7 linked regions of the Xenopus tropicalis genome follow. The protein of the gene in region 7 purifies or fractionates together with the protein of the main gene of each other region. This does not show direct contact. Links are inferred from orthologs where the notes say so. Each region holds a gene or a part of one and is shown on either strand. Other genes may lie near its edges.

What was found.
Region 1: the proteins of polr3h (region 7) and polr3g purify together in Homo sapiens (affinity purification with mass spectrometry; 5 studies listed by BioGRID and IntAct, with this or other methods). This does not show direct contact. The link is inferred for Xenopus tropicalis from reciprocal best matches to the Homo sapiens genes POLR3H and POLR3G.
Region 2: the proteins of polr3h (region 7) and uncharacterized protein LOC496835 purify together in Homo sapiens (affinity purification with mass spectrometry; 6 studies listed by BioGRID and IntAct, with this or other methods). This does not show direct contact. The link is inferred for Xenopus tropicalis from reciprocal best matches to the Homo sapiens genes POLR3H and POLR1D.
Region 3: the proteins of polr3h (region 7) and crcp purify together in Homo sapiens (affinity purification with mass spectrometry; 4 studies listed by BioGRID and IntAct, with this or other methods). This does not show direct contact. The link is inferred for Xenopus tropicalis from reciprocal best matches to the Homo sapiens genes POLR3H and CRCP.
Region 4: the proteins of polr3h (region 7) and polr3k purify together in Homo sapiens (affinity purification with mass spectrometry; 3 studies listed by BioGRID and IntAct, with this or other methods). This does not show direct contact. The link is inferred for Xenopus tropicalis from reciprocal best matches to the Homo sapiens genes POLR3H and POLR3K.
Region 5: the proteins of polr3h (region 7) and polr3f purify together in Homo sapiens (affinity purification with mass spectrometry; 4 studies listed by BioGRID and IntAct, with this or other methods). This does not show direct contact. The link is inferred for Xenopus tropicalis from reciprocal best matches to the Homo sapiens genes POLR3H and POLR3F.
Region 6: the proteins of polr3h (region 7) and polr2f purify together in Homo sapiens (affinity purification with mass spectrometry; 4 studies listed by BioGRID and IntAct, with this or other methods). This does not show direct contact. The link is inferred for Xenopus tropicalis from reciprocal best matches to the Homo sapiens genes POLR3H and POLR2F.

Annotation. Positions count from the first base shown.
Region 1 is NC_030677.2:178,954,538-178,958,510, forward strand, and holds the start of polr3g (DNA-directed RNA polymerase III subunit RPC7), read right to left. Parts: upstream 2,801-3,973; 5' UTR 2,618-2,800; intron 1-2,617. UniProt on the Homo sapiens protein: DNA-dependent RNA polymerase catalyzes the transcription of DNA into RNA using the four ribonucleoside triphosphates as substrates.
Region 2 is NC_030678.2:155,277,705-155,281,971, forward strand, and holds the start of uncharacterized protein LOC496835, read right to left. Parts: upstream 2,801-4,267; 5' UTR 2,795-2,800; coding exon 2,772-2,794; intron 1,420-2,771; coding exon 1,345-1,419; intron 1-1,344.
Region 3 is NC_030678.2:97,817,164-97,821,209, forward strand, and holds the start of crcp (DNA-directed RNA polymerase III subunit RPC9), read right to left. Parts: upstream 2,801-4,046; 5' UTR 2,739-2,800; coding exon 2,731-2,738; intron 2,707-2,730; exon of another isoform or gene 2,509-2,706; intron 256-2,508; coding exon 219-255; intron 1-218. UniProt on the Homo sapiens protein: DNA-dependent RNA polymerase catalyzes the transcription of DNA into RNA using the four ribonucleoside triphosphates as substrates.
Region 4 is NC_030685.2:40,341,144-40,345,199, reverse strand, and holds the start of polr3k (DNA-directed RNA polymerase III subunit RPC10), read right to left. Parts: upstream 2,801-4,056; 5' UTR 2,767-2,800; coding exon 2,656-2,766; intron 1-2,655. Other genes in the region: snrnp25 (U11/U12 small nuclear ribonucleoprotein 25 kDa protein), read left to right, coding at 2,970-2,990. UniProt on the Homo sapiens protein: Core component of RNA polymerase III (Pol III) which synthesizes small non-coding RNAs using the four ribonucleoside triphosphates as substrates. Can mediate Pol I proofreading of the nascent RNA transcript.
Region 5 is NC_030681.2:38,387,732-38,391,816, reverse strand, and holds the start of polr3f (DNA-directed RNA polymerase III subunit RPC6), read right to left. Parts: upstream 2,801-4,085; 5' UTR 2,639-2,800; coding exon 2,583-2,638; intron 1,056-2,582; coding exon 938-1,055; intron 1-937. UniProt on the Homo sapiens protein: DNA-dependent RNA polymerase catalyzes the transcription of DNA into RNA using the four ribonucleoside triphosphates as substrates.
Region 6 is NC_030680.2:122,152,786-122,156,928, reverse strand, and holds the start of polr2f (DNA-directed RNA polymerases I, II, and III subunit RPABC2), read right to left. Parts: upstream 2,801-4,143; 5' UTR 2,709-2,800; coding exon 2,689-2,708; intron 821-2,688; coding exon 751-820; intron 469-750; coding exon 338-468; intron 1-337. UniProt on the Homo sapiens protein: DNA-dependent RNA polymerase catalyzes the transcription of DNA into RNA using the four ribonucleoside triphosphates as substrates.
Region 7 is NC_030680.2:120,321,876-120,324,042, forward strand, and holds the end of polr3h (DNA-directed RNA polymerase III subunit RPC8), read left to right. Parts: intron 1-62; coding exon 63-126; intron 127-260; coding exon 261-471; intron 472-1,086; coding exon 1,087-1,140; 3' UTR 1,141-1,667; downstream 1,668-2,167.

The sequences.
Region 1 (3,973 bases), on a different chromosome or scaffold from region 7:
AAATGGTACGGTCCGACCCCCCCCGCTCTTAAAAATGGTACAGTCCGAACCCCCCCGCTCTTAAAAATGGTACGGTCCGACCCCCCCGCTCTTAAAAATGGTACGGTCCACCCCCCCCCACTCAAAAATGGTACAGTCCGAACCACCCCCGCTCTTAAAAATGGTACGGTCCATCCCCCTCACTCAAAAAATGGTACGGTCCGAACCCCCCCCCGCTCTTAAAAATGGTACGGTCATCCCCCCCCACTCAAAAAATGGTACGGTCCGAACCCCCCCCCGCTCTTAAAAATGGTACGGTCCATCCCCCCCCCACTCAAAAATGGTACGGTCCATCCCCCCCCCCACTCAAAAAATGGTACGGTCCGACCCCCCCCCCCCCGCTTTTAAAAATGGTACGGTCCACCCCCCCCCTCAAAAAATGGTACGGTCCGACCCCCCCGCTCTTAAAAATGGTACAGTCCGAACCCCCCCCCCCGCTCTTAAAAATGGTACGGTCCGACCCCCCCGCTCTTAAAAATGGTACGGTCCATCCCCCCCCCCACTCAAAAAATGGTACAGTCCGAACCCCCCCGCTCTTAAACATGGTACGGTCCGACCCCCCCCGCTCTTAAAAATGGTACGGTCCATCACCCCCCCGCTCTTAAAAATGGTACGGTCCGACCCCCCTCCCACTCAAAAAATGGTACAGTCCGAACCCCCCCCCCCACTCTTAAAAATGGTACGGTCCGACCCCCCACTCTTAAAAATGGTACGTTCATCCCCCCACTCGAAAAAAATGGTACGGACCGAAACCCCCCCCGCTCTTAAAAATGGTACGGTCCATCCCCCCCACTCAAAAAATGGTACGGTCCGACTCCCCCCCCCACCCAAAATAAAATGGTACGGTCCTATCCCCCCATAAAAATTGGTGCGGTCCGACCCCCGCTCTTAAAAATGGTACGGTCCGACTGGTACGTCCATCCCCCCCCACTCGAAAAAAATTGGTACGGTCCCCTCCCCCTCTAAAAATGGTATGGCCCGACTCCCCGCTCTAAAAAATGGTACGGTCCGACCCCCCCGCTCTTGAAAATGGTACGGTCCGTCCCCATCCCCTCTAAAAAATGGTACGGTCCTACCCCTCCAAAATAAAATGGTACGGTCCGACCTCCCCCGCTCTTAAAATTGGTATGGTCCGACCCCCCCTCCAAAAATGTCACGGTCCATCCCTCCCTCTCAAAAAAATGGTACGTCCAACCCCGCCCCCCTCCAAAAAATGGTACAGTCCGACCCCCATTCCAAAAAATTTTGGTTGGACCGTACCATTTTTTTGGAGGGGGGTCAGCCCGCACCATTTTATTTGAAGGGGGGGGTCGGACCGTACCATTTTTTTGGGGGGGAGATCGGACCGTACCATTTTTTTGGAGAGGGTGTCGGACCGTACCACTTTTTTCCGACGGGGGATCAGGCCGTACCATGCTATTTTTTTGAAGGGGGGATCAGACCGTACCATTTTTTGGAGGGGGGTTGGACCGTACCATTTGTTTCGAGGGGGGGGTTGGACCGTACCATTTTTTGGAGGGGGCGGACCGTACCATTTGATTTGAGGGGGGGTCAGACCGTACCATTTGATTTGATGGGTCGGCCGTACCATTTTTTTTGAGATGTTTCACCTCACTGTGTTAAGGCGCTATGACCCTATAAAAATTAGGTATGCCCAAATTGCAGCCCTCCAGCTTTTGTTCATCAACATAGCTTTCCCTTTAAAATTATATACTTTTTTTAGTGAAGCTCAGGTGTATTCTTACAACATTCTCATTAAAATAATTGATAGCAATGAATTACACCTGCTGGGGTTTGCACCAATTACAGCACACTAAGATGCCTACTTATTATGCTGTGCAAAAATGGCAGCAAAATTCGTCATTCATTGCGAGGCTTCGCTGTGTAAAAAACAATGTAATTACGTAGCTTGCATAGAATAATGGCATAAAGTCTGGCTTTCAGATGGTGACATTTGCCATTTTACTCAGCACACTAAATAGGCCCCCAGGTACAGCTGCTATAATCACCTGAAAGTCATCAGCTGACATTGAATGTTCTAGTTGAACAAAACTAGAAGGGCCACAGGCAACACTGTAAATGTAAAAACTAAGAATGTATATAAGAATATACATTTTTAATGATTGTTATTTGTACTTCTACAAAGGACATGATGAGGACTAGAAGCTCTCTATGTCCTGCCCTAAAGCATTCCCTGTCATGCCCCAACCACACCCAGCTAAGAGCACTAAGAGTTGCAGCTTCCAGCAGCTGAAGGACCCCAAGTTGAACAATAAAATATTAAAAGGCATTTATTTTCATAGGCCCACTTTAGGCAAACAAGCTTAACTCATTATTAAATAATACATTCAAAAACATTTCAACATTCAGCTTCAGTAGAAGTCAATAAATGCAAGCCCCAATATGCCAATCTGTGCCAATGCTGCTAAATATCATTGATCCAACTGTAACTGATTTTATAATGGCCTAAAATGTGCTTATATCTGTGCTTTAACACATCTTACATTTGGGTGTTTTCATAGATTAATAGAATTATAGACATGATATTAAATTCATATACTTAAGCGAATCATTTTACCTTCAGTCTGATATAATTTCTCGCTGATGAATCAAACATAGAACTCGGCTGATTCACCAAATCTGCGTTACAATGACATTCACAAGTAAATCCTGGTGCAGTAGGGATAAGCCAGTGGGGGCAGTGCTTGTCAGCAAGTCCTAACGAGCATCAGGCAGTGTAACTGATTCTAAACTAATTAGGTTCTGCTCAGCAGTAAAACTATATAGGGTAGAGCTTCCCTTTGTTAGTGTTCAGGCTTACTAAACACAACATGAAGCACAGCCCTTTCAGTGGAAAGGCGCTGTACATTGATCATTATGTGTTCTTAAAGGGGAACACAAAACTAATGTACTGGCAACTATCAGCAGTTAGCTCTAATCATGCATTACACAGCCACCATCAGTGAGGTGCAACTGCTGGAGCCCAGAAAATAAATATTATACAATATGTCTGTTCAGAGAAGATAAATTTGGCATTTGTCTAAATATCAAATGTTTTTCTTTTTATGCCACACTGTTTTTATTTTCTTTTAAAAAGTTGGAGTAAATTACTTTTTGCCAGTTTAACTACTAATCTTTCTAAATTTGACATAGTTGTCTTCGTCAAAATGCTGTCAAAGGGCATGTTCAGCTTTTGCAAAGTAGTGTAAATAGTAGCCTCTGGGAAGAGTCTGTGATATATTGAATATAGTAGGTAGGGAAGGGACTGTGGCTGTGGGATAGCAGGTATAGTAGGGGGAGATGGTACCTATAGTAGCAGTGGGGGGATAATAGCCTCTGGGAAGGGACTGTGGCTGTGGGATAGCAGGTATAGTAGGGGGAGATGGTACCTATAGTAGCAGTGGGGGGATAATAGCCTCTGGGAAGGGATTGTGGCGGTGGGATAGCAGGTATAGTAGGGAGAGATGGTGCCTATAGTAGCAGTGGGGGATAATAGCCTCTGGGAAGGGACTGTGGCTGTGGGATAGCAGGTATAGTAGGGAGAGATGGTGCCTATAGTAGCAGTGGGGGGATAATAGCCTCTGGGAAGGGACTGTGGCTGTGGGATAGCAGGTATAGTAGGGAGAGATGGTGCCTATAGTAGCAGTGGGGGATAATACCCTTTGGGAAGGGACTGTGGCTGTGGGATAGCAGGTATAGTAGGGAGAGATGGTGCCTATAGTAGCAGTGGGGGGATAATAGCCTCTGGGAAGGGACTGTGGCTGTGGGATAGCAGGTATAGTAGGGAGAGATGGTGCCTATAGTAGCAGGGGGATAATAGCCTCTGGGAAGGGACTGTGGCTGTGGGATAGCAGGTATAGTAGGGAGAGATGGTGCCTATAGTAGCAGTGGGGGGATAATAGCCTCTGGGAAGGGACTGTGCCTGTAGGATAGC
Region 2 (4,267 bases), on a different chromosome or scaffold from region 7:
GGGAGTCAGTACCCACTGCCTTTCTTGCTATAAAACTAACATAAACACATCTAAAGGGGTGGTTCACTTTTAAGTTAACCTTTAGTATGTTATAAAATGGCCTATTCCTAGCAACTTTGCAATTGGTCTTTCTAATTAATTTTTTTGAATAATTTGCCTTTCTCTTCTGCCTCTATACAGATTTCAAATGGGGGCCAAAAAATATTGCTCTGTGAGGCTACAATTTTATTATTATTATAATTTTGTATTACTTATTTTTCTAAGTAGGCCCCTTAACTATTCATATTCCCATCTCTTGTTTAAACCACTACCTGGTTGCTAGGGTAAATAAGACCCTAGCAACCAGATAGCTGCTGAAATACCAAATGGAGAGCTGCTGAACAAAAAGCTAAATAACTGAAAAACCATTAAAAATAAAAGTGAATTGAATGCGAACTACCCCTTTAAGCTAACTGATCACAAACACAAATGTTTGCAGATCCCGCGTGCGCGTATGAATACTTTTACATCCTAAACATTTTAGGGTAAAAAAAAAAAAGCACCCCCACCCGCACTTTTGTACAGTATCCCTGGTAGTCAGTGGGAACGGCAAGAGGTAGTTGGGAGGTTAACTTTTTACGCCAGCAGCGAATCCACTAAGTGTCACATTAGCTGTAGGTCGGACTGTGTATGGGCCATCTTTAGCCTCCCCTAGTATCATCCTGCAAAAAAAAAATATATATTTTTAAATATATATATATATATATATTTGTCTGTTGCAGGATGATGCTAGCTTACTTGCCCCCCCTTGGAAAATTTTCTGCGGACGCCCATGTTTGTAAGGATTATATGGTAGGGGGAAAAATTTTTTGCTGCGCACGCTGCAATTTTTCCCCCTTTCTCTTCCTAATTAGCATATTTCGGGTTTGGGATTCCTAGATTATAATCACTTACCTATGACTGGCTTGGGGTATTATCCTTATTAGCGCCATGCAGTCATCTTATTGCTGTTCTCTGAATCTTTGCAGTGGCCCTACTCTGTGTTTAAGTGCAAGAGAAGCCTACCTGTCATTTCACATTGAATTACACATTTTACTATGCTGCACATAGGCACAGGACAGGCCTCACAAGAATAGTACACAGGGCCAGTGTATTTTAAGTGAAAATAATAATGATGATTATAATAACTGTATGAGGGGTTTGCACCTCCCTCCATTGACTACCCATTTCCTTTTTTAAAGGAAGAGAACAGTTTTTTCAAGTTTTATAAACACACCAGTATTTTTAATATGAACACAGTTACTAACCATACAATAGTGTTACACGCACATATATCATTAAAAATTGTATAAAGAAACCACTTACCAGCCCATTGGTCCCATAGTTTCAGCTCGGATCTTGCCACGTTTTGCTTCTTTGAGAAGCTCTTCTACAGCTTTCCTGCATCGGCATAAAAGAGCAAGAAATTAGCATTAACAATATCGGCTGTACAGCCCAACATATATAAGTATTGCTACATAAATAAAAATCTACACACATGTTTTGGGGGGAAAGTTCTTTTACACCAATTTAAAGAGGACAAAAAATGTATCAAACGCATGAAATAAGGCCTATTAACATTATTAAACATTAGTATACTTTACGTTTTTTTTTTAAAAATTCCATTATTTCAACAAATCTGCCTCCAACTAGCAGTCTCTTCTTTTGGTCTCCAGGCAAGTACACTGAATATGTATTAATATGGCAACGGCACCAAAAACTGCATGACCAAACTGCTTTTATTGGTTTACTATTTTATTATAAGTGGGCTGAGAGTGTTCTAAGCAAAATCTATGGGACCTACAAATCCTGAACCATGCACAGTGCTTCCCAGAGACATGTAAATGTGCACAATCCTAATTCCATCTATGGCTGCTTGGTATTATACCAACCCAGCCGGTCAAAATAATGCTTGATGTCAATGTTATTAATAGGGAAGAAAGATAATTACATAGAAAGGCCAGTATTTTTTTTTTTTTTTACAAAAAAGTGAAAACCAAAATCACATCTCTAATTGCTGCTTTATTGATGTAGTTTAACTTTAACTCCCACTGCAACAACCAACCCTGGAAGCTGTAATTCCACAATACAAAAAGGGCTATTGGTTGCCTTTCAGTGATATACATGAACCACAGTCTGGCCAGCTGGCTTTCAGTACCAGTAAGAGCTCTCTATAGCCTACGGATCAACACTATGGGGCAGATTTACTAATCCACGAACGGTCCGAAGGCATCCGCATGCGTTTTTTTCGCAATGATCGGTATTTTTGCGACTTTTTCGTATATTTTCTGCAACTTTTTCGTCGCCGTCGCGAAAAAATCGGATTGGTTTTTCCGCCGTTTACAATCGCTCAATACGAAAAAATTGCAACGGCGACGAAATAGTTGCGCAAAATACGATAATGTCGTGTCGGCGACGAAAAAGTCGCGACAAATACGAAAAAGTTGCGGCGGCGACGAAAAGACGGCAAAATTTTCTTTCCAATCTGAATTTTTGCCATTCCGGTTTCGGATTCGTGGATTAGTAAATCTCCCCCTATGTATTCCTAACAAGGACCCAAAAGTAACTGCACCCAATCAGTCCCCACTTCCCCAGCAACAGCTGTCCCATAACAATTCATGTATATATTATTATTTATCCTTCACCCACTACCCAAGCAGTCTCTGCACTATAAAGCGTTCACTGGGGTAAAACATAGACAGCTCACAAGCAGCAGCATGCAATTTTATTTCTATTTCGCATATACTTCGTACCGTTCCAATTCGTCTTCCTGCATTTCTGCTCTGCAGCAAAGGAACCCGGAAATACACTGGCGAGATGGCAACAACGCCAAGCAGCGCAGCGACTTCCGGAATGGGCGGGGCCAGAGGCGTCACTGAGCTGCGGAGTGCCTCCCTAGTGCTGAAGGGAATATATATATATATAGTTTTGGGCAGCGCTGTGAGATCACATGGATAGTAAAATATTGATTAACACTACGACGACTGTCATCAATGGTTAAAAAAAGTTGTGGAATGATTGTGCTAAGTTTACCCAAACTCTGGCGCAAAACCATAGGGGGTTTTGGGGGGGGCAAGTTGGAGAACACAGCAAAGTGGTTCTAGTGTAGGGATACCCTAACTTTTTTACCTGTTAGTAACTTTAAAATGAGTTGGGGAACAAAACAAACTTGAAAAACCTCAGAGATTGTGCCAAATACTGGCGTATTGAGAAAACAATTTCCACTCTGCATTCCTCCCTGTCACTAATGCCTGTAGGTTGGCAGCGCGGTTAAAGGAACAGTAACGCCAAAAATGAAAGTGTATTAAAGTATTTAAAATATAATGTACTGTTGCCCTGCACAGGTAAAGTTGTGTGTTTGCTACAGTAACTCTACTATAATTTATATATAATAAGCTGCTGTGTAGCCATGGGGGCAGCCATTCAACCTTGAAAAAGGAGAAAAGGCACAGGTTACATAGCAGATAACAGATAAGCTCTGTAGAATATAATGGGGTTTTATCTGTTATCTGCTATGTGCCTGTGCCTTTTCTCCTTTGAATGGCTGCCCCCATGGCTACACAGCACCTTTGTTTATATAAACTATAGACTTTCTGAGGCAAACACACCAGCTGTACCAGTGCAGGGCAACAGTTCATTATATTGTAATTATTTTTATACACTTTCATTTTTTGCCTCCAAGCCAGGAATTCAAAAATAAGTGCCTGCATTAAGGCCTCAGGGAGTAACATTAAATGGGATCACTGTGCTAGTCCCTTACTTGCTACACAGGAATGGTGTTTCTCTTTTTCAAAAAGTGCAGCAGCCCAGGCAGTCGGACTGGCCCCCCAGGATACCAGGAAAACTCCCGGTGGGCCCAGGTGTCGGTGGGCCCTCCTGCTCCTGACCATTTGGCCTGCTTCATGGCCATTCCCTATTTCTGAATGGGAACAGAGAGGAGAAATAGTGTAAATAAAAAAGACTAGGAGAATAAAGAGGGTGGGTGAGAAAAAATAGTTCGGAGAGTGGGCCTATAGTCTAAGGCAGGGATCCCCAACCTTTTTTACTTGTGAGCCACACTCCGATGAAGTGGATTAAAATGATGCCTCTGTATTTTCAAAACTAGTCTCTATGCTACAAATGTAATAACAGGCACCTACTTTGAGGCCACTGGGAGCAACATCAGAGATGGTTGGGAGCAACATGTTGCTCACGAGCCACTGGTTGGGGATCACTGGTCTAAGGTTTTCCGGTGGGCCCCTGGGGTCCC
Region 3 (4,046 bases), on a different chromosome or scaffold from region 7:
TATTACACATATAACAGTATAACAGTACACAATAGATCACTATATAACTGTCTACTGAATAATTTTACATAGCACATGCAAATGTTTGTTCTTAATTGTGCATTTTAAGCCATTTATAGCTTTTATTACATTTCCCCACAAGCACTGCAATTACAATGTGATAATAATGAATACACATAATCTACCACAAACATGTTTAAATATTCCGTTTTACCAACCTCATAATTGCTCAGGAGCGCTGCATTTGCATCTTTTCTAAAAAAAAAGGGAAGGAAAAGTAATTCACCATAAGGCAAAACAAATAAACAATTCTATATGTCATTTGTTTAATCAATCATTATGGCTGGATCATTTGTACAAGGCCAACAAATGCCTATAAAACTCTTATTTAGCAACAGAAAGGTATTGAGCTTGTTTGTGATTCATAGGTCCATTTTCATTCAACTCTGTGAGCACTGAATTTAACTAACCAATAAATGGACCTCAAGCAAATAATTGCTGAGATCAGAGTTTAACCAGACGATAGCACTAGCCACAGAAAGACCTTTGGGATACAGTTTCCTTAGGTTGGTTGCTGTGAGTTACTAGACCCAAAGTTAACGCTATTACATAGTTACCATAGGTAAGATTTTTTTGGCACATCATTTGTCCTTAATTTTCTAATAAGGCCCTCTTCTATTTACATGCCAGTCTGACTTCCTAACTGCTGCTTGGCTGGTAGGGTTATTGAATTATAGCAACAAAATAGTAGTTAAAATTCCAAATCTGAGACCTGCAGAATAAAAAAGTAAAATAATAAAAAAACATAAAAAGACAAAATGCAAACTGTCTTAGAATACTGCTAACTACATCACACTCGAAGTCAAGTTGAATGCTTAATAAAATGCCCACAAAAGACACTTTGTCAGCTTCTGCTTATTTGATCTACTCTGAAGGTCTCTCAAAATCAGGTGTCTGAAAGTGCATCTATTTAAAGGAGAAGAAAAGGTAAAAACTAAGTAAGCTTTATCAGAAAAGTATGTAAATACGGCCATAAGCACTTACAGAAAAGCTGCACCGAGTCCTCTATCAAAAAAACACATGATTTCTTGTCACCGTTTTTGTAAACATGTTCTTGGGTATCTGACTAACTCTCCTAGTCCTAGAACACTATATTTATTCTGCAGAAAGCTTTACTATACTTGAGTAAAGAGCCCTAGAATCTCCCTGCGATTGTTTAAGATTGCAGCTACCATTTTATCTTGGTCTTCCTAGATTAAGCTACCAGCCTCTAGAACTGCAGCAGGAAACTAGGAAGACCAAGCTAAAATGGTAGCTGCAATCTTAAACAATCGCATGGAGATTTTAGGGCTCTTTACTCAAGTAAATCTTTCTGCAGAATAAATATAGTGTTCTAGGTGGCCCTAATGTGACAAATATATTGGCAGTAAAATGCCAAAATAACTATCCTTCTCCTTTAAATGCTTGCTGAATACATCAGAACACATATGTTATGCATGTAAGTGCATAAAAATGCTGAATGCTGTCTGGAAAAATGCAGTCAAATGTGGCACTACTTAAACGCAGATATGAAGGCTTGTTGTTACAACCAGACAGAATAATGTGGAACCAATTAAGTCACAACCTAGGTACACTCTCTAAGCCAGTGATCCCCAAACAGTGGCTCGGGGGCAACATGTTGCTCACCAACCCCTTGGATGTTGCTCTCAGTGCCCCCAAACCAGGTAGTTATTTTTGAATTCCTGACTTGGGGGCAAGTTTTGATTCAATAAAAACAAGATTTCCTACCAAATAAAGCCCCCTGTAAGCTGATAGGGCGCATAGAGGCTGCCAAATAGCCAATCTTCACCCTTATTTGGCACCTCCATGAACTTTTATGGTGCTTGTGTTGCTCTCCAAGTCTTTTTACATTTGACTGTGGCTCACAAGTAAGAAAGGTGGGGGACCCCTGCTCTAAGCTGTGTCTCATACGCACATCAAAAGCATGAATAAAGGGAAGGTTCACCCAATACACAAAAACCCAATTGAATAAAGTATAAGGTCAGCTTTGTCTACTATCTTGCCTTCAACAACATACTGCATGTTATTAATTAGTACTTTTCTTATTGTGTTCTCTTCTCTCAGTTTGGGTGCTCAGAAAGCAAAGGGAGAGGTAGGGCTTCAATTCCCCAGAGAAAAAGAATCACATGACTGCACACTTCCATGAAAACAACAATAATCTGACATTGCACAAACCTGGCACTGCCCCCATAAGATTATGTAGGCGGCATCAGCCAGAAGCATGCAGGGGTCGGCAACCCTCTCTGCATGCAGGGGTTAGCTTGCATTTTTGTTAATATTGGAGGTTATGTTAGAGATATGTTTAGAAATGTGCAATCTTTACATAGACGGTAGTTTGTGCAAAGGTAAGCGTTTCTTTAAAAGAAAATGCTTATAAGCCCCCTGTAAATATCACCTGATATAAACCTTTACTCTGTTCCACTATATATGTAATTGTAAAGTACTTACTGTCAATCAGCAAAACACATAAAAACACACATCGAAACCACATACAGCTAAGCACGTATACAATCCGGAAGTTTTGGAATGATTTCTCAGGTAACACCATGCTGCTGCCTACCCAGCTTTCACTCGCACACGTTCATTAGCAGCTCGAAAGCAAATGGCAGAAAACTCTTAAATATTTCGAAGCGTTTTAAAACAGACACATTTATAAATAACATTTCTTACACTTCCATGCTGTTTTTCACGTTGGTCAATTAAAAGCCGAGCGAAAAGTCGAGCAGCTGATGATGTCACGCCACGTGACCCTTTCAGGAACCAAACGGAGGCTGCGGAACCGCTGAAACAGGAAGTGGAAGAGTTCACCCTCCTGAAACACGTGTAGGATTCAACTTCGTTTTTGCAAGCGTTATTTGTATTCAAGTGTATGATGCGTCCCTGAGTGCTTTGAACGTCCCAAACTAAGGCAGTCTCCCAGTAGAATGAAACCTCACCAGGCTGAATATAGATAGTAATGGTGTAGTTCTTCAACCACTTTTCCTACTTCTTTTTGTACCCAGTGTGATTTCTGAAAGAACAATAACATTTTTTTTCCAAACCAATTAATAATAACAATAGTTTCTCTAACAGAATCCTGCATTAAAATCCATTTTTCAAAAACACATTTATTTTTTTAATTTCATACAGGGCTAGGAATATTCTTAATTTCCCAGGGTGCCACAGCCATGTAACGTGCACTCTGGTAAACTTCATCCACATTTTACTGCTAAGCTACAAGCTTTGGTGATTTCAACCCCCTCAGCCGCACCTCACATTATTGCTAATTGAAAACTTTTCCCAATACCCCGCCGTGATGACTTGAAATATAGTCAGCACTGGCAATTTCTGACAGTCTCTCAGGAGACTGATGTGCTTGGTTAAAAGGCAGATGTTGGCTCGCTTGCCTGGTGTTGCGCTGGAGAAGGGTGCTTTGGTTACGGCGCGACGGGAAGGCGGCCCTTTGAAAGGGCTTCGTTAGCATATGGATTCCCACAATCCATTGCATCGGCTGGGCAGCCGTAGCCACACTTGAAAGAAGCCCGTCCCACAAGGGGCCCCTTAACTTAGGCAGGGGCCCAATCAGCTTTGCGCAGTGGCAGTATTATAGCCAATGAGGTCAAACCGAGGCGTGATTATTGCTAATTGAAAACTTTTCCCAATACCCCGCCGTGATGACTTGAAATATAGTCAGCACTGGCAATTTTTGACAGTCTCTCAGGAGACTGATGTGCTTGGTTAAAAGGCAGATGTTGGCTCGCTTGCCTGGTGTTGCGCTGGAGAAGGGTGCTTTGGTTACGGCGCGACGGGAAGGCGGCCCTTGGAAAGGGCTTTGTTAGCATATGGATTCCCACAATCCATTGCATCGGCTGGGCAGCCGTAGCCACACTTGAAAGAAGCCCGTCCCACAAGGGGCCCCTTAACTTAGGCAGGGGCCCAATCAGCTTTGCGCAGTGGCAGTATCATAGCCAATGAGGTCAAACTGAGGCGTGATTATTGCTAATTGA
Region 4 (4,056 bases), on a different chromosome or scaffold from region 7:
ATGTCGCAAGATCCAGGAGAGTTTGCGAGGGCCTGCATTGGACCTAATTAAGCTCCAACGAGAGGTGTGCCCACAAGATGGTCCTGAGAAGTTGATAGACGTACTGGAAGATACATATGGACCGGTGGAAGATGAAATTGAAATGTTGTACAAATTTCAGTCTTGCATGCAGAAAGAAAAAGAGAATCTGTCTGAGTACTTGAAGCGACTGCAGCAAATGCTAAAATTACTTGTTTGCCGAAGAATCATTGCTACAGATCGTGTTGATTCTATGAGGCTACAACAGTTATTCAGAGGGGCTTTATCTATGGACCCCACAGCTGTGATGTTGAGATCTTTCTACAGAGGAAAGAAAGAACCAACTTATCAGGAGCTGATCCGTGAGATCCGAAAGGAGGAAGTTAATGTTCTGCGACGAGAGAAGAAAAGACGTGGTTCTGAAAGGACATCCAGTGATTCGCAGAAAGCGGAAGAGATTGCCGAGTTAAAAAAACAGGTTGCTCAGCTCAAGGCTCGTGTGTCCGAAAAGGAAGAGGGGTCAACTATGTCTAGACCCTCTTCATTTCCTAAAGCAGGTGGTGCTCGCGGTGACCCACCAAAGTGCTTCCGTTGTGGCCGGTTGGGCCATATATCCCCACACTGTCCGACGCAACGTGAAAATGCTGCAGCTACAGAAGTTATTTCATATGGCTGTGCTGTGAGGAAGCCACCCCAAAAGAGGTATCGGAAGAGACGTAATCAGGTGAGGTGTTACACCTGTGGTTGGTACGGTCATACTTCCCACACCTGTGACTGGGGACGGAATGAAGACTTCACTGATGTATATGTGACATCTTTCCCATGTGAAGTGAATATTTGTGAAGAGAAATCCTGTGGCACGAGGATGGTCTCTGAGCACTCTGGCACCCCCAATAAAAGTAAGAGACTGGGCCTGGGAATGCGTAGACCTTCAGGCAGGGGAAGTGTCAGGGCAGTTAGTGAGGAAGCTTTCCCCTGTGTATCTCCCCCAAAGGTTAGGGAGAATAAGAATGGTGAGAAAGGGCAAGCGAGGACGTTGCCCATTCAAGCAGGGGGAGAATGTAGGGAGGTAGTGCTGGGTCCCTGCACTTACCCCCCTCCTGCTGCTGTTCCCTGTAGGGGAGCTGGCACTGAGACTTTGTGCTGTGAGCTGCTGCCTAGCAACAAGGTGAACAGCAAGCTCAGGGCTGCCGGAAGTTGCAAAGCAGCCTGGGAGAGGAAGTCAGTGGGAGGAGAGAAAAAGCCCCAGAACTCCAGAAGCTGCACGTGGGCTCAGAGAGAGGAGCAGCACAAGAAGAAGCTGGCCTTTGGAACAGGCTGGTACAGGGAAGGCAGACCCTGTACCTGGAGAGACAGAGATCCTGTGAGGAGTCCTGACTGGAGGAACAAACACCTGCAGGGGAATCCCATCTGAGTAGCTAAAGGGGCTAGTAGTCGCACTGCATGGCTGTGAGTGCTGGACTCGCCTGAAGATTCTGTGTGAATCACCCAAAGAGATTCCTGGAGTGAGTATCATTAAAGTGAAAGTAATAAAGGAGCGCTTGAAGATTTAAACTATATAAACTGTTTCTTTTGGGACTGAGCTAAAGGACTGTACATAGTTAGTGAGACAGCTTGCGCTGGCAAAGCTAGTTAGTAAGGCCCTTATTGCCACTTGGATAGGAGTGTTATCTGTATTAGTTTCCCCTTTATTTCAGATAAAAGTTATTTCGTTTATCAAGTACTGTGTGTGCATTATTATTGTTCCTAGTGGGGCCACCCGTAGGTGCACTCCAGGATCCCACTAGGTGGAGGCACTGCGCTAATAAGTACCAGGTACCCAGTCTCTCCCAATACCACTGCGGAGTGATTCAGGTTTGTCCCGTGCCATCAGGTAAGCGCCACTCGTGGAGTGTAACACTGTCAAAGGTGCCAGAAGTGGTGAAGATAGGGTTACAGTATTTCCCCTTAAAGTTTGTCAAATAAGTATCTAGCGGTCAGAACTCCCTATGTATTAATATATATTCAAATGTATTTATTTAGATATTATTTATGAAAGTGTTAGGACACATTTTATAATATATATTTATGATATTAGTGTGCTTTAGCAAGGTAATGCACTTCCACAGGGGAAGTGATTGTGCTGTGGTGTTCTGGGTATTGTGAATTTAGGGTTAAAAGTGTGCCCTTCTATGATGATTTGTTCCCAGAAGGGTAATAGCCAAAAAGGAAGAAAAGCAAGACCTTGGCCACAAACTAGCAAAAATCAGACAAAAAAAAAAATCACAGGTCATATGCGTATATTCAAATGTTCATTTTGGGGGGTGGGGGTAGCAGGTGTATCTATTTACTATGCATTTTATTTAGTATTTATCATAAAACATAAATGATAAGATCACCTTTTTAACTTTGTAAGTCTATTAAACTTACACAATTTAGAGCTAAAAGCCCCAGCCATTACCAGAATATGTTGTTAGCAATTTATACAGATTCATCCCGCACTTAAAAATCAGCGCATTGTACTGTTGCTAATGTAATGTTATCTGCCAATTAGCAATGCTTGGCATACACAAGGCATAAAAAGGCTTCGTAGCCACCAGGACTACACTTACGCCGCTTAAAACCATATTTCTATCACTTCAGAAGACCTCATTATACCTTGCGATTAACGTTGTGCACATAAGGGCAGGTATTACAGGCAAACCTGTAGCACTTCTGTCCCTCCTCCACGATCAGCACATTCCCACACGTCGGGCAAAATAGCAACATTGCTGCTAACAGATTAGCTCAAACTTCGCATCAACCACTTCATCCTCCAGACGCCAGTACCGCTGCCTAAGCAGAATGATCACCACGCGTTTGCCCTAGCCTCGCATTCACCTACATTACATCTTATTGCGCACGTTTCCGCCCGGTGATGACGTCTTTAATGGGCGCCCTAGAAATCTGCGACAGTTCCATTTGTAACTTGAATGAAACGGTGTGAACTAAAGGTGGGTAGTGGAAATTGCGTTGAAAAACTTAACTCGAAATTCTAAATTTCTACATTTAAGTCCAGCTCCCAAAAACTGATAACACGAGAAGAGCAATTTTTGCAAAGCAAAAGCAGAACTAGAAGTCTTGCAGCCATTTAAGTTGAAAAGGAGAAAAGGCACAGGTTTGGATATCATATAACATATATGCTCTGTAATAAAATGCAGTGGTGGTATATTCGTGTTAATCTGGTATCTGCTGTGTATCCTGTGCCTTTCTCCTTTTTTTATCTTGAAGTGCTTCCTCCATGGCTGCATAGAAGCTTGTTTATATAAACTATTTATATTCTTATTTATATACGGCTGATGCCGCATGGAAACCCGCATGCAGATAATCAGTCCCTCCGCTGACAGCCTCCTACCTTGCCTGCACCAGAAACTATTGGGCTGGCCTGGGTGCAGGCACACATGGCAGATATCAGCAAAGAAACTGTAAATTTAGCATTTTAGAGTGGATATTCATATTGTATGCTTGCACCTGGGCCAACGCAGTGGTTTGACCTGGAAAAGTAGGAGGCTGATGCCCAAGGAACTGATTCTTGGCCTGTGGTTTTTCATGTGCTGAGAATCAACCCCACATGGTATAAGCATTACAGTACTTATGTACGAAGCACTGTACAGCAGAGCATCTAATTGATAGAACCAGGGCCACCATCAGAAATCGCGTTCTTATAGTAAAACGGTGGTGTGTATTTCTTTTTCTCAGGCTTTGACCAGTCTCTCCTATATACAGTCCTCCTGTTCAGTATCTAGTGCACTGTATTAAGTACACCATATTGGAAGAAGAACAGTTGTACTGACCATGGATGTTGTATTCCTCTAATGTGTCTGAAATCTGAATTACAGATGTGTGGGCAGGTTTTGCATTGTTTTTTTGCCACAGGGATAAGTTCCTTTTTTGTTGGGTTGAATTAAGGCACTTCTTGTTATTAGTTGTTTTAGGTTTGGGGGCTGCCTGAATGCCAGAAGTGGTGGGTCTGGGAATATGTTTTGGAGCCTCTCATCCTTTTGAGGTGTACACTGTAGA
Region 5 (4,085 bases), on a different chromosome or scaffold from region 7:
GAGAATGCTGGGGGGAGCTAGAGAATGCTGGGGGGAGCTAGAGAATGCTGGGGGGAGCTAGAGAATGCTGGGGGGGAGCTGGAGCATGCTGGGGGGGAGCTGGAGCATGCTGGGGGGGAGCTGGAGGATGCTGGTGGGGGGAGCTGGAGGATGCTGGTGGGGGGAGCTGGAGGATGCTGGTGGGGGGAGCTGGAGGATGCTGGTGGGGGGAGCTGGAGGATGCTGGTGGGGGAGCTGGAGGATGCTGGTGGGGGGAGCTGGAGAATGCTGGTGGGGGGAGCTGGAGAATGCTGGTGGGGGGAGCTGGAGAATGCTGGGGGGGGAGCTGGAGAATGCTGGGGGGGGAGCTGGAGAATGCTGGGGTGGGCAGCTGCAGGATGCTGGGGAGTGTATGGGGATGCTGGGGAGTGTATTCCATACTTGATTATCAATAGGTATCAAAAGATATTTGTGCTGTTTCCATACAGGCAACGAGCAATCTTGTTGGTAAAAATTGTTGATAAAAAGAATATCCTAGAACTGCTCTCTGGTATTACATGTTCTGGCCTAAAGTCATTCTACTGAAATGGATTGTAAAAATGTTCAAACTTTTTAATGTTTAACCCTATATGGCATTTGTCACAGTAAAGAAGCCTTTGATTTATCTATTCTGCAGTGTATAACTATTGGGAACATACAGAGGGGCAACATCAAATATTTATGACATGCAAGGGGCTAAATTCAAAATGATAATGCAAGTAATATTAGGCAATAATAAAGTTAAAACGTTGTCACTACTGCCATTATTGTTTTTGTAGTTTTGGTGATTTACTTCTGTATTTCCTAGCTTGCAAAATGAACTGCCCCTCAGTATCTCAATCTAAACAAGGGGCCATATAGCCATAGTTTTAACATACATTATGTAAGACAAAAAGAAAACAAATATAAAAGAACTTACAGTTGCCAGCAGTCGGTTGATGCACATGGCCCTTTGTTTGGCTTCAATGTGAGGCATCTCATTTTGAATAACTTGGTCAGTGATACCATGAGGAAACTGCTGGCACAGCTCAATAACCCTAAATATATAGAAAAAAATACCATTAAAGAACTAGAAAAAGCTTAAGTGTAACTGTGTTAAGTGTTTATGAGACTGTTGACTTTCTCTAACATTTTATTTGTAATAATTTTGGCCCCTGATGTTAGTGGAAGGAATGCACAACACATGCAGAATATTTAGATCATGTCCAGTATGAAAGAACTGCTACCCCTTATGTGAGCCAACAACTGCAAGAAACAAACGGCTGGAACGGAGTATTATGTGACTAAAAATCACACTAACAACAAAGAGGATGTTTAAAGAACCGAAGCCATTGCTGCTTTTTTTTTTTTTGGACAGCTGTAATAACAGCCACCCTCCATTGGTAGACAGATGTTGGATGTTTTTTGGTACTACATGCTGTACTACATACACCAGAGGCAGTCTACAGGTCCGGACTAAGATTCAAAAGAGGAATTTCATGTACAAAGGCCCAAACAGCCCCCCACAGGTGCAATACATAGTGACGTTCTATGGCATCTTGCAGCAGCCACTCTGGCATTGGCCAGAATCCATAGACTGTCAGACCGGGCCTGGCATAAACACACTTGTTTTTTTTTTAATTCGGTGTAACTTTATCATAACCACATATTTTTATTGTCCCTTTTTACTATAAGACAGTCCTTAAAAGTTTCCTTTAAGGGGCAGTATATTTCTTTTTACCATGAGCTAAACAATAAATATAGTTTTTCCAAGTAATGTATGGCTTTTAGTTATTTCTTGCACTAAACAAAGACACTGACAGCTTAAATTTTCTAGTTTCCTGGTTCTGCCAAATCATCATTTGTGGTAAAACAAATCAACAGTATACAGATAAGCACTGGCTGCTCCTAATCACAAAGTCTAACAAAGGCTACATCTTAGGAGAGAGTGGATTTGCTTTATACACAGCTCATTATTCTCATTTAAACAATAGTGGGGAAAAACAAAACACTTTTATTTTAGTGCTTTATAACTACAAAACATTTGATAAATGTTAAAAATATGGATTTTTAAACTAAAATAAAAAAAGATTACATTCTCAACACAAGACTTATTTAGTATGCTGATGTTTAGCAAAAGTGTCTATAGGCATACACTGGCCTCTACAGTTTTAGGTTTCCTGCAGATAAAAACCCCACATCTTTTAGCAAATGTGTTCATGTCTCATCAGTCAGCCACAGTGTAGGTGTAGTCATGTCCTTTAGATAAGGTATAGCTGAGATTGCCATGAAGCTTTTCAAAATACTAGTAGGGTTCTAATGCCTGGTCTGGGACCACAGCTCTGAAGAAAGGCTGGATATAACCTGGGACAGACATTGAGCAAGTCAATGCGTGACAGCAAGTGACACAACTAATAAATAACTTTAGTTTTCTGCTATAACTGTAAGCATATGCTGCCAATATGATTATATTGATCAATGTGTCTTTCTAATGCAAGGGACTTTCATTTAAACCTTATGTAATTGAAAAAAGTAAACCAACATAGCCAAAACGCCAAAGACATACTCCGCTTTGCACCGCTTACCTGTTCTCTATCTCCGCTGCCTCCCCACCTTCTTGCTTCACCTTCGCTTCTGACATGTTTATTTGAGTCCCTATCCTTTGCCCACGTGTCCCCCTTAACGACTGTCGCCCCAACACCCCCAGTTCAGGTAGCACTAGCGCTGCAGCTCGATCAGCAGAAAGTATCGGCAGCCATTTTGCTTTCGGGCAAAAGGGAGCGTTTGGAACGGAACAACTTCCGAGCGGACAATATATTTTCAAATCAAAGGTACTACGTCTTTTAACTAAAGGACTTCGCGATTTACGTTGTCGCTAACCAAACATTTTCACGCTTTACAATTTCCAAATACAGCAAGTCGTCTGTGTAGCATTTGCTGCGGAAATACGTCATGCATAGGAGCATGCGCTTTGAGAGTGTGAAGAAATATGGGCGATGGTTTATTAGCGTCATCTTCGCATCTTTAGTTGCTAGGCAGCCAGACTTGACCAATGAAAAGGGCAGACACCGTCAGGAAGCAGGTTTTTACTACACCGCGTCTCTAGTAACGGGAGGTGGGACAAAGGCTGCGCCGGGGTCCACAGTGGGATATTTTATCAAGGTAAGTCAGGGTGCTATCAATTTAGACTAATGAAGAGTCTGTAGGTTACTGCTCGCCATAGATAGTGCTCTGCAGCTTGCGAACTTATGCTTTTCGAACTCAATGCTATGTGATTCGATGAAGCCCATTAACTTCTAGTTACATGTTTTTCAGTGGCTGAAATATTTTTATATTTTATACGTTTTTATAAAGCGGGACTGGTGTAGCATGTACAGTACATGTATGTAAGCTCATCTCATGCACCAGATTGTCTGGGAGAATTATAGCCTCAGAATCATTTTATGGCTGTTTGACTAATTAAAAGTTTTGCTAAGTACAAATGCTGACAGGACAAATACAATAAATCATTTAATCAATTTCTAATGTATTCATTTGAACTGCAGAAAGTTGGGTACAGTGGCCAACAAATGGTGACAATGTCCCTTAGTGCAATGTTTTTGGTCAAGAGACAGTAGCGTACCTTGAGTGGTCTGGCCCCACCCCCACAAAAAAAATATCTTCGGAGGGGCCCGGCATGCACGCTTAAGCTCAAATGAGAGCCAGCAAAGTGGACATTTAGAAGTGACTATGGATGGCAAACTACACACAGTGGACCTCATGGCCCAGCTTCCGCCCCCCATGGTCATGGGGTCTGCTGTATAGGTAGTTATGCCACTGTCAAGAGTATTTGGCCTTATTGAGTCAACTGCCCATGTACATGTAGGGACCCATAGGGTTAAATGGTCCCTATGGCTTTAAATCCCTACAGGTTCAGTTCCCTTAGTTGCTGGGCAGAAGGGAATGTATCTAAGTGAGTTCATTAACATGTGTGCTATTGGTCAGAAGGTATAGTGACCACATCCTGCCTGACTTTGGTATAGTGTTGGGAGAGGAGTGGCACCTTCCTGTTGTTTGCTTCCACCTTAGGGACAAAGTGGATGTGTGCT
Region 6 (4,143 bases), about 1.8 Mb from region 7:
TCATCCTTCTTGCATGCGTAGTAGAGTGAAAAGCCAAACTTTAACGCATGCATGGGCCCCAGGATTACTGCAAAAGGAGAAGGAAGGAAGATAATTGCTCGCCTGCATTTACCCGAGTCAGTGCAGGAGTACCGGTTGGGGGTATCAGGTAAGCAATTACAATTACTGGGGGCTGCCTAACATGTGGCACCCCCTAGTGATTTAGCTGTTCCTTCTCATTTAAAGTGATATTTAGGAACAGGCTCTTATTGTAACAATGAAGGTGTGTTCACATTAGTCCACATGGAAAGTGCTGGGTGAAATGTGCTCTTTCCATCACATATAATCTTTTACTTACGCTATTTGCAGGGCACGAGTTCCCAGCACACGGGCCCGCTCATATTTTGTCATGTAATTGGTGGTGATGCGTTTCTGGTTGGCCTGCTGGCCTTCCCCAGCTGGAAGAATTGCCACATTCTCCTGGTCTTCCTGCAATACAAAACCCACCAATTGTTACATAGAGACCACAAAGGAAAACTTCTGGTTGTAGTCCATTGAATGTCTGTGTCTTCTAGTTCTACTTTACCCACATTAACAGTAAGATATTAGAACACAAATTTTGTATTAACAAAACATATACATATATATATATATGAAACACCTAGAAGTTTCCATTTTGCGCTGAGCTTTTTAGTATAAATAATTATTTGGACTATTGCAATTTCAGTAAAGAAAAACCAGGCTGTTGTGGAACAAAAGAACACCACCTACCTCTTCTGCATTGTCCAAATCATCAAGTCCCTCATCCTCTTCGACATCATCAAAATCATCTCCATCAAAGCTGCACACCAAAACAAATACATAAGTGAACAACTCTTGGCATAATTTCCTCCCTTCTGTACTACATTGTCAGGGTTTGGTGCTTAAAATAGACTTTGAGTTGATAATGATAACTGATACTTACTGTATCATCCATGGTAGCCAGTCCTGTAACTTGCAATAAAATACATGGGACTGTATATTTTTCTAGAATGTTGATAAATAATCAATGTAATAAAATGCAAAGTAGAACTTTTCAATGTGACTGCTGTTAGGAAATAAGGCCTTGTACAGGTTGTGTCCTACTGTAACTATGGAAAAGGCCTCTGCTGGGGAAATACACCATAAACTCTGGTCATTTGGACTTAAATTCACCAAAAAACAGGGGGGAGGGAGAGGAATGGACAAATACCTTATAGATTATTAAAAATAAAAGAGTGATATGCAACACTGCTATAAATTATCTTAAATATATCACCAAAGTCAATTGTTTTAATCAAATTTAGTCACTGTCACAGTAGCATCCAAAACAGAAAATAGAGCCCCCTCCATTATACAATGACCACTCTGTTAGAAAGAAATCTGGGCACAGAGTTCTAACAGCGACCCCTTGTGCTTTTTTTCTTCTGGTCAAATTACAAGCAACAGCCATGACTATGATATGTGAGCATCAGCCCTTGTAAGTAGGGAGTACTGGCCTGGGTACAGTTTCGTAGAGCTTTATCTGAATAAAAGGTCTGTTAAATGTTGCCCTCTTATATTTCAATGTACATAAAAGTGCTGCTGCTATTTAACAGATCAAAAATATTTATTTGTTATATTACCTATGGTGCCATCAAGAAAAAATGCCGGGACAGAGGTGATACCAGTTTGCAGGGATATATGTATTTGACACACATATGGGCACATACAAACAGGTTGCTCTTTGCTCATTCCCTATATATATATATATATATATATATATATATATATATATATATATATATATATATATATATATATATATAAAAATTTTTTTTTTTTTTTTATATTACTGGGATGTCAGATGAAGTTATTATCAATATGGCACCATGAGATTGGAACCTGCTCCTGTTCCTACACACCTGATTGCCATTCTGCCTCATGGCTCCAAAAGCAGTGTGATAATTAGGAGTACATTTAAATAAAACAGTATTTGATGTATGAGAAGCAACGCAGAGAGTGGCTGGGCCATAGAACTGAGACATATACATGGTGCCAAGGGGCAGAAATACTCAGCTGTAACTCCTCACAGAAAGATCAGCATTTTAGTGAATCATTCTGGTGCAATGGCTGCTACATATCTGCCCTGCAGCGTCTCCCCACCTGTATGAAAGCGAATTTACTATTATAGTCTGGAAATAGATATTCTTGATTCTGGCATAAACATCCTTGGGGTTCATTTACTAATAGTGGGCAAATTAGCAGCTGGTAAGTAACCCATGGCGACCATTTGCTGTCATTATTGTAACTGCTGATGGCAGAACATAATCACTGACCTGCTGGATTAGCGCCTAGGTACCAACTTGCCCCCCGTTAGTAAATGAGTGTGCTTATAATTCAGTACAGGGAATAACACCGTTATGCAGCTTTGTGGGTTCATGACCTGGAAAATTTGTCCATAAACAATGAGATTTCATGACTAAACTCGGCAGTATATTATATATTATAAACAATTACACCGCCCTCTTGTAATCGGGGGCCAGTGTTCCCTTACAGTGTTAGTACCGGGCGGAAGGAGATGAAGGGACACTGTATGAGCCATTCCCACATGGCACTAGCAGCTAGGAAGCCCCCAGCCCGTACCGTCGGCCTGCCCAGTGAATATCACCGCCCCACCCTTTATTATAGTAACAATACAAAGCGACTCACTTGTCCTCGTTGTCCGACATGGCAGCGGCTCTAGGTACCGAGCAGAACCTACTCGCTTTTCCCACACACACACTGGGATAAGTTCGTTGCGGCGTCACGAACGGCCACAGACAGGAAGCGGAAACGTTAAACCCTCAACTTCCTTCCTTGTACGGTTCCCATGGAGACAGGACGCGACTTGCGAGAGCGTTTCGTGTTCGTTATACAGACTGACCGGTGCTGGCTGGCGTGCTGACAGCTTATTAAGGTTAGAGATGGTTTGTATAGATATACACATAGGCAATAATGAATACTATGGTTAGTGCAAGAATAAACATTTAATGTTGTTTGCATTTGGGGTATGTTGACTGTAGCATGGGTATATATGTAGCTGAGGGACAGGATAGTGTAGTTATACTAGTATGGAATAGCCCCACCTAATGGTCATTAATGTGACTATATACTTTATAAGCAGAATCGTGGGCTTCTGCTTAGCTTTTCATGCCTGGCACTCCCATGGTTAATGGTGAGAAATCACTAACATAGTTTTTCTGTTATACATGTAGGGGTTTACCAAAAATGGGCCCTTAGGATAGACACCCCTAGGATAGGCCACAGGGTGGTGATCAGGGACATTGGGATGACTGGGTGCTAAATAGTTAACAGGGAGTATACCTGTAGTTAGGGTTATGGCCACAGGGTGGTGCATAGGCCCATATAAGGGGTTGCAGCCATGTGCTGAGTGGCAGACATTTTGGGGGCTGCTCCAGGCAGGAGTACCCCAGGTACAGTTTAGATAGAAGTTTGGTAATAGATCACTCCAGGAGTGATATGTAGGACACCATAGGTTAAAATGGGCAGACATGACCCCTCCAGGAGTGGTAGTGAGGTTAAGACCTCCCAGCGTTACATCTGCTGGAGTGCAGGGCCACAAGTGGCTAGGGAAGGTGCACCAGGTCACCACTAGTCCAGGAGCTTGGATTTGAGGATGCTTAGTGTGAGTACCGGTGTGGGTCCCTGTGGTGAGGCTTCTAGCGTGAGTACCGGGGAGGGCTCCAGGAGGGGGTGCCTCATGACGCGAGTACCGGGAAGGTCACCTAGAGGGGAGCACGTGGCGTGAGTACCGTGGAGTAGTCCAACAGAAAGAGTCTCAATGAGTAGTAAGGGGATATGCCCTGCACACTGTATCAATAATATGTGCCACTCCTGGAGAGGAATCTGCCTAATATACCGTTGCACCGTTGTCTGCTGTGAGTATCTGCCAAGCCCAGAGGACCACTACCAAGCTGGTAAGGAATAACTCCAAGAGGGAGTGTATTACACCAGGAGTACGTGGGTCCCAAGAGGGGCATAGCAACCTATTAAGTTCCCAGGGGGTGGATTATAGTTACACAACACCATCCCTGGGTGGAGGCACACCATTTAAGGGAGAAATCCCTGTTAACCCCCATAGTAAGCGGGGGCTCAGGACTCCTG
Region 7 (2,167 bases):
GACATGTCTTGTTCAGCTCCTTAATCTTGCAGATAATACATGATTCTTAATTCCTCCCACAGTTTCCCTAGGCTTCTTTGATGATATTGTTATACCTCCGGAGTCCTTGCAGCAACCAGCAAAATTGTATCTTTTGTGGTAACAGGGACAACTGTTATGGCCCCTCATGTAGCAGAAGTAGTAGCTGTGAGATTCCTTTAGTCTGTTTAGTAAGTGTGTATATTTCCTATCAACATTTCCTTGACAATTTTTGCTCTCAGTGATGAGGCCGAACAGGTATGGGTATGGGAATATGAGACAGAGGAGGGTGCTCATGACCTGTACATGGATGTGGGTGAGGATATCAGATTCCGAATGGTGGATGAGACCTTTATAGACACATCTCCAACCGGACCCAGCTCAGCAGAAGCCTCCTCGTCAACGGCGGTTGCAGAGGAGACTCCTCGCAAAGAGGCACCCTACACATTGGTGGTAAGAAATTCAGTTGGTTCCTATCTGTTTTAGTTGGGATTTCTATTAATTTTGTCCTGCATCGCTACTGAGAGGACATTCTCCTTTTGCACTGGTGGTGCTTCAGCAGCTGGCTACCATAAAGTTGTTCCCTAGTTAGCTAGGAAAGGGTACATGACAACTTTATATAATCTACATAAGGCATGTCCAAACTTGTACTGATAAAAATGATAGATTAAGGGTTGACACACAACTTGAATGTAGTCCCTGTGGTAGCACTCAGGACTGTGACGCCTAAGTAAGGAGAATGGCTCCAACCGATCCCAGAAACAATATCAGAGAATTCTGTCCGGAAGAGTGCAGTGCTTAAAACTGCGCAGAACCCAAAACTTCCAGAACTCTGGTAAAGGACCCAAGACAAAATGCCATCCAGTTAGCCACACTAGGGTGATTGCCTCTGCAGTATGTGGTTATTGCTACACTCAGCCAGTAGAATCATTTAACATTACAAAAAGCTTGGCATAGAGAGGCAGCTGTGAAGCATCAGCTAATGAGATTATGACTGGGGGCCTTTAGGAATGAAGGGGTACAAAAATTTATTATAACCCTTAGAATGATTGTTTTATTTTCCTGTAGGGGTCTATAAGTGAGCCAGGGTTGGGCCTGCTTTCCTGGTGGACCAACAACTGATTGAAAGGAGCTGCCTTGCTTTTCCTGTCCCACATCATTGCTGTACAGAAAGCCATGCCAGTCAGGAATACACAGAGCATCTGACAATGAAAACAGGAGTATTACAGAGTTATGTCCTGTTTAATGAGGAGAAATATTTACTATCTTCCATGAGAATGCACTAGATTTAAGATAACGTTGACTATTGGTTCCCTTTTGTTTGCCGTATAAATTATACTTTCATATAGAGAGTTGAATTAAATGTTATTTAGACACTAGGGGTGGTTAGAGTGCTTAGGTTTTTTAGCGCTAAAACTCGCAAAATTCAAATTATGGTTAAGTGCAAAAAAAAACTCAAATGTAAAACTTCGGCATCTAAAAGCTTGCGAGTTTATGTAGAAGCCAATGAGAGTTGTCCTAGGCAAAGTCAAGACATATTTTCGATTTGAGTTTAAGCTTTTTCTCTGAGTTTGTAAACCTACAAATTCCTACCTACTGCCTTGATAGTAGTAGAGTTTTTCATGTTAATAAATAAGCAAACACTTGAATTTACGAGTTTATTCGAATTAGAAAAAAAAACTCCAATTCACAAACTCAGAAATTGATAAATAAACCCATAAAAGTGGGAACCCAACAGTGCATACATCCCACCTCCGACCTTTAGGTTTTGGTGAACTACAACTCTGTTGTCAGGTTAGCTTTATTAATGGTACTCAAATTTTTTTTTCCAGCATGCAGTTCTACACAATTGTGATTTAATCTGTGTTTCAGGGAGGTGTAGAAATTTAGACAGCAAGCAAACAGCAACCATGACATGAATGGCAGTGTGCTAAGAAGCAGATAAACATAAGCACTTATCACAGCAATCTAATAACAGAGGGTGGGTAAGGTGATTCACTGGATGGATGTAAAAGAAAATTAAAAACACTGTTATGCCTCAGAGTTTGCCTCAACAAAATGGATGTCAAATATCAAGGCCCATTATTTAAACATCTGTTGGTTTGAGAAGAATGGAAACAGGAGCAACAGAACAGGTGAAAATCGAAGA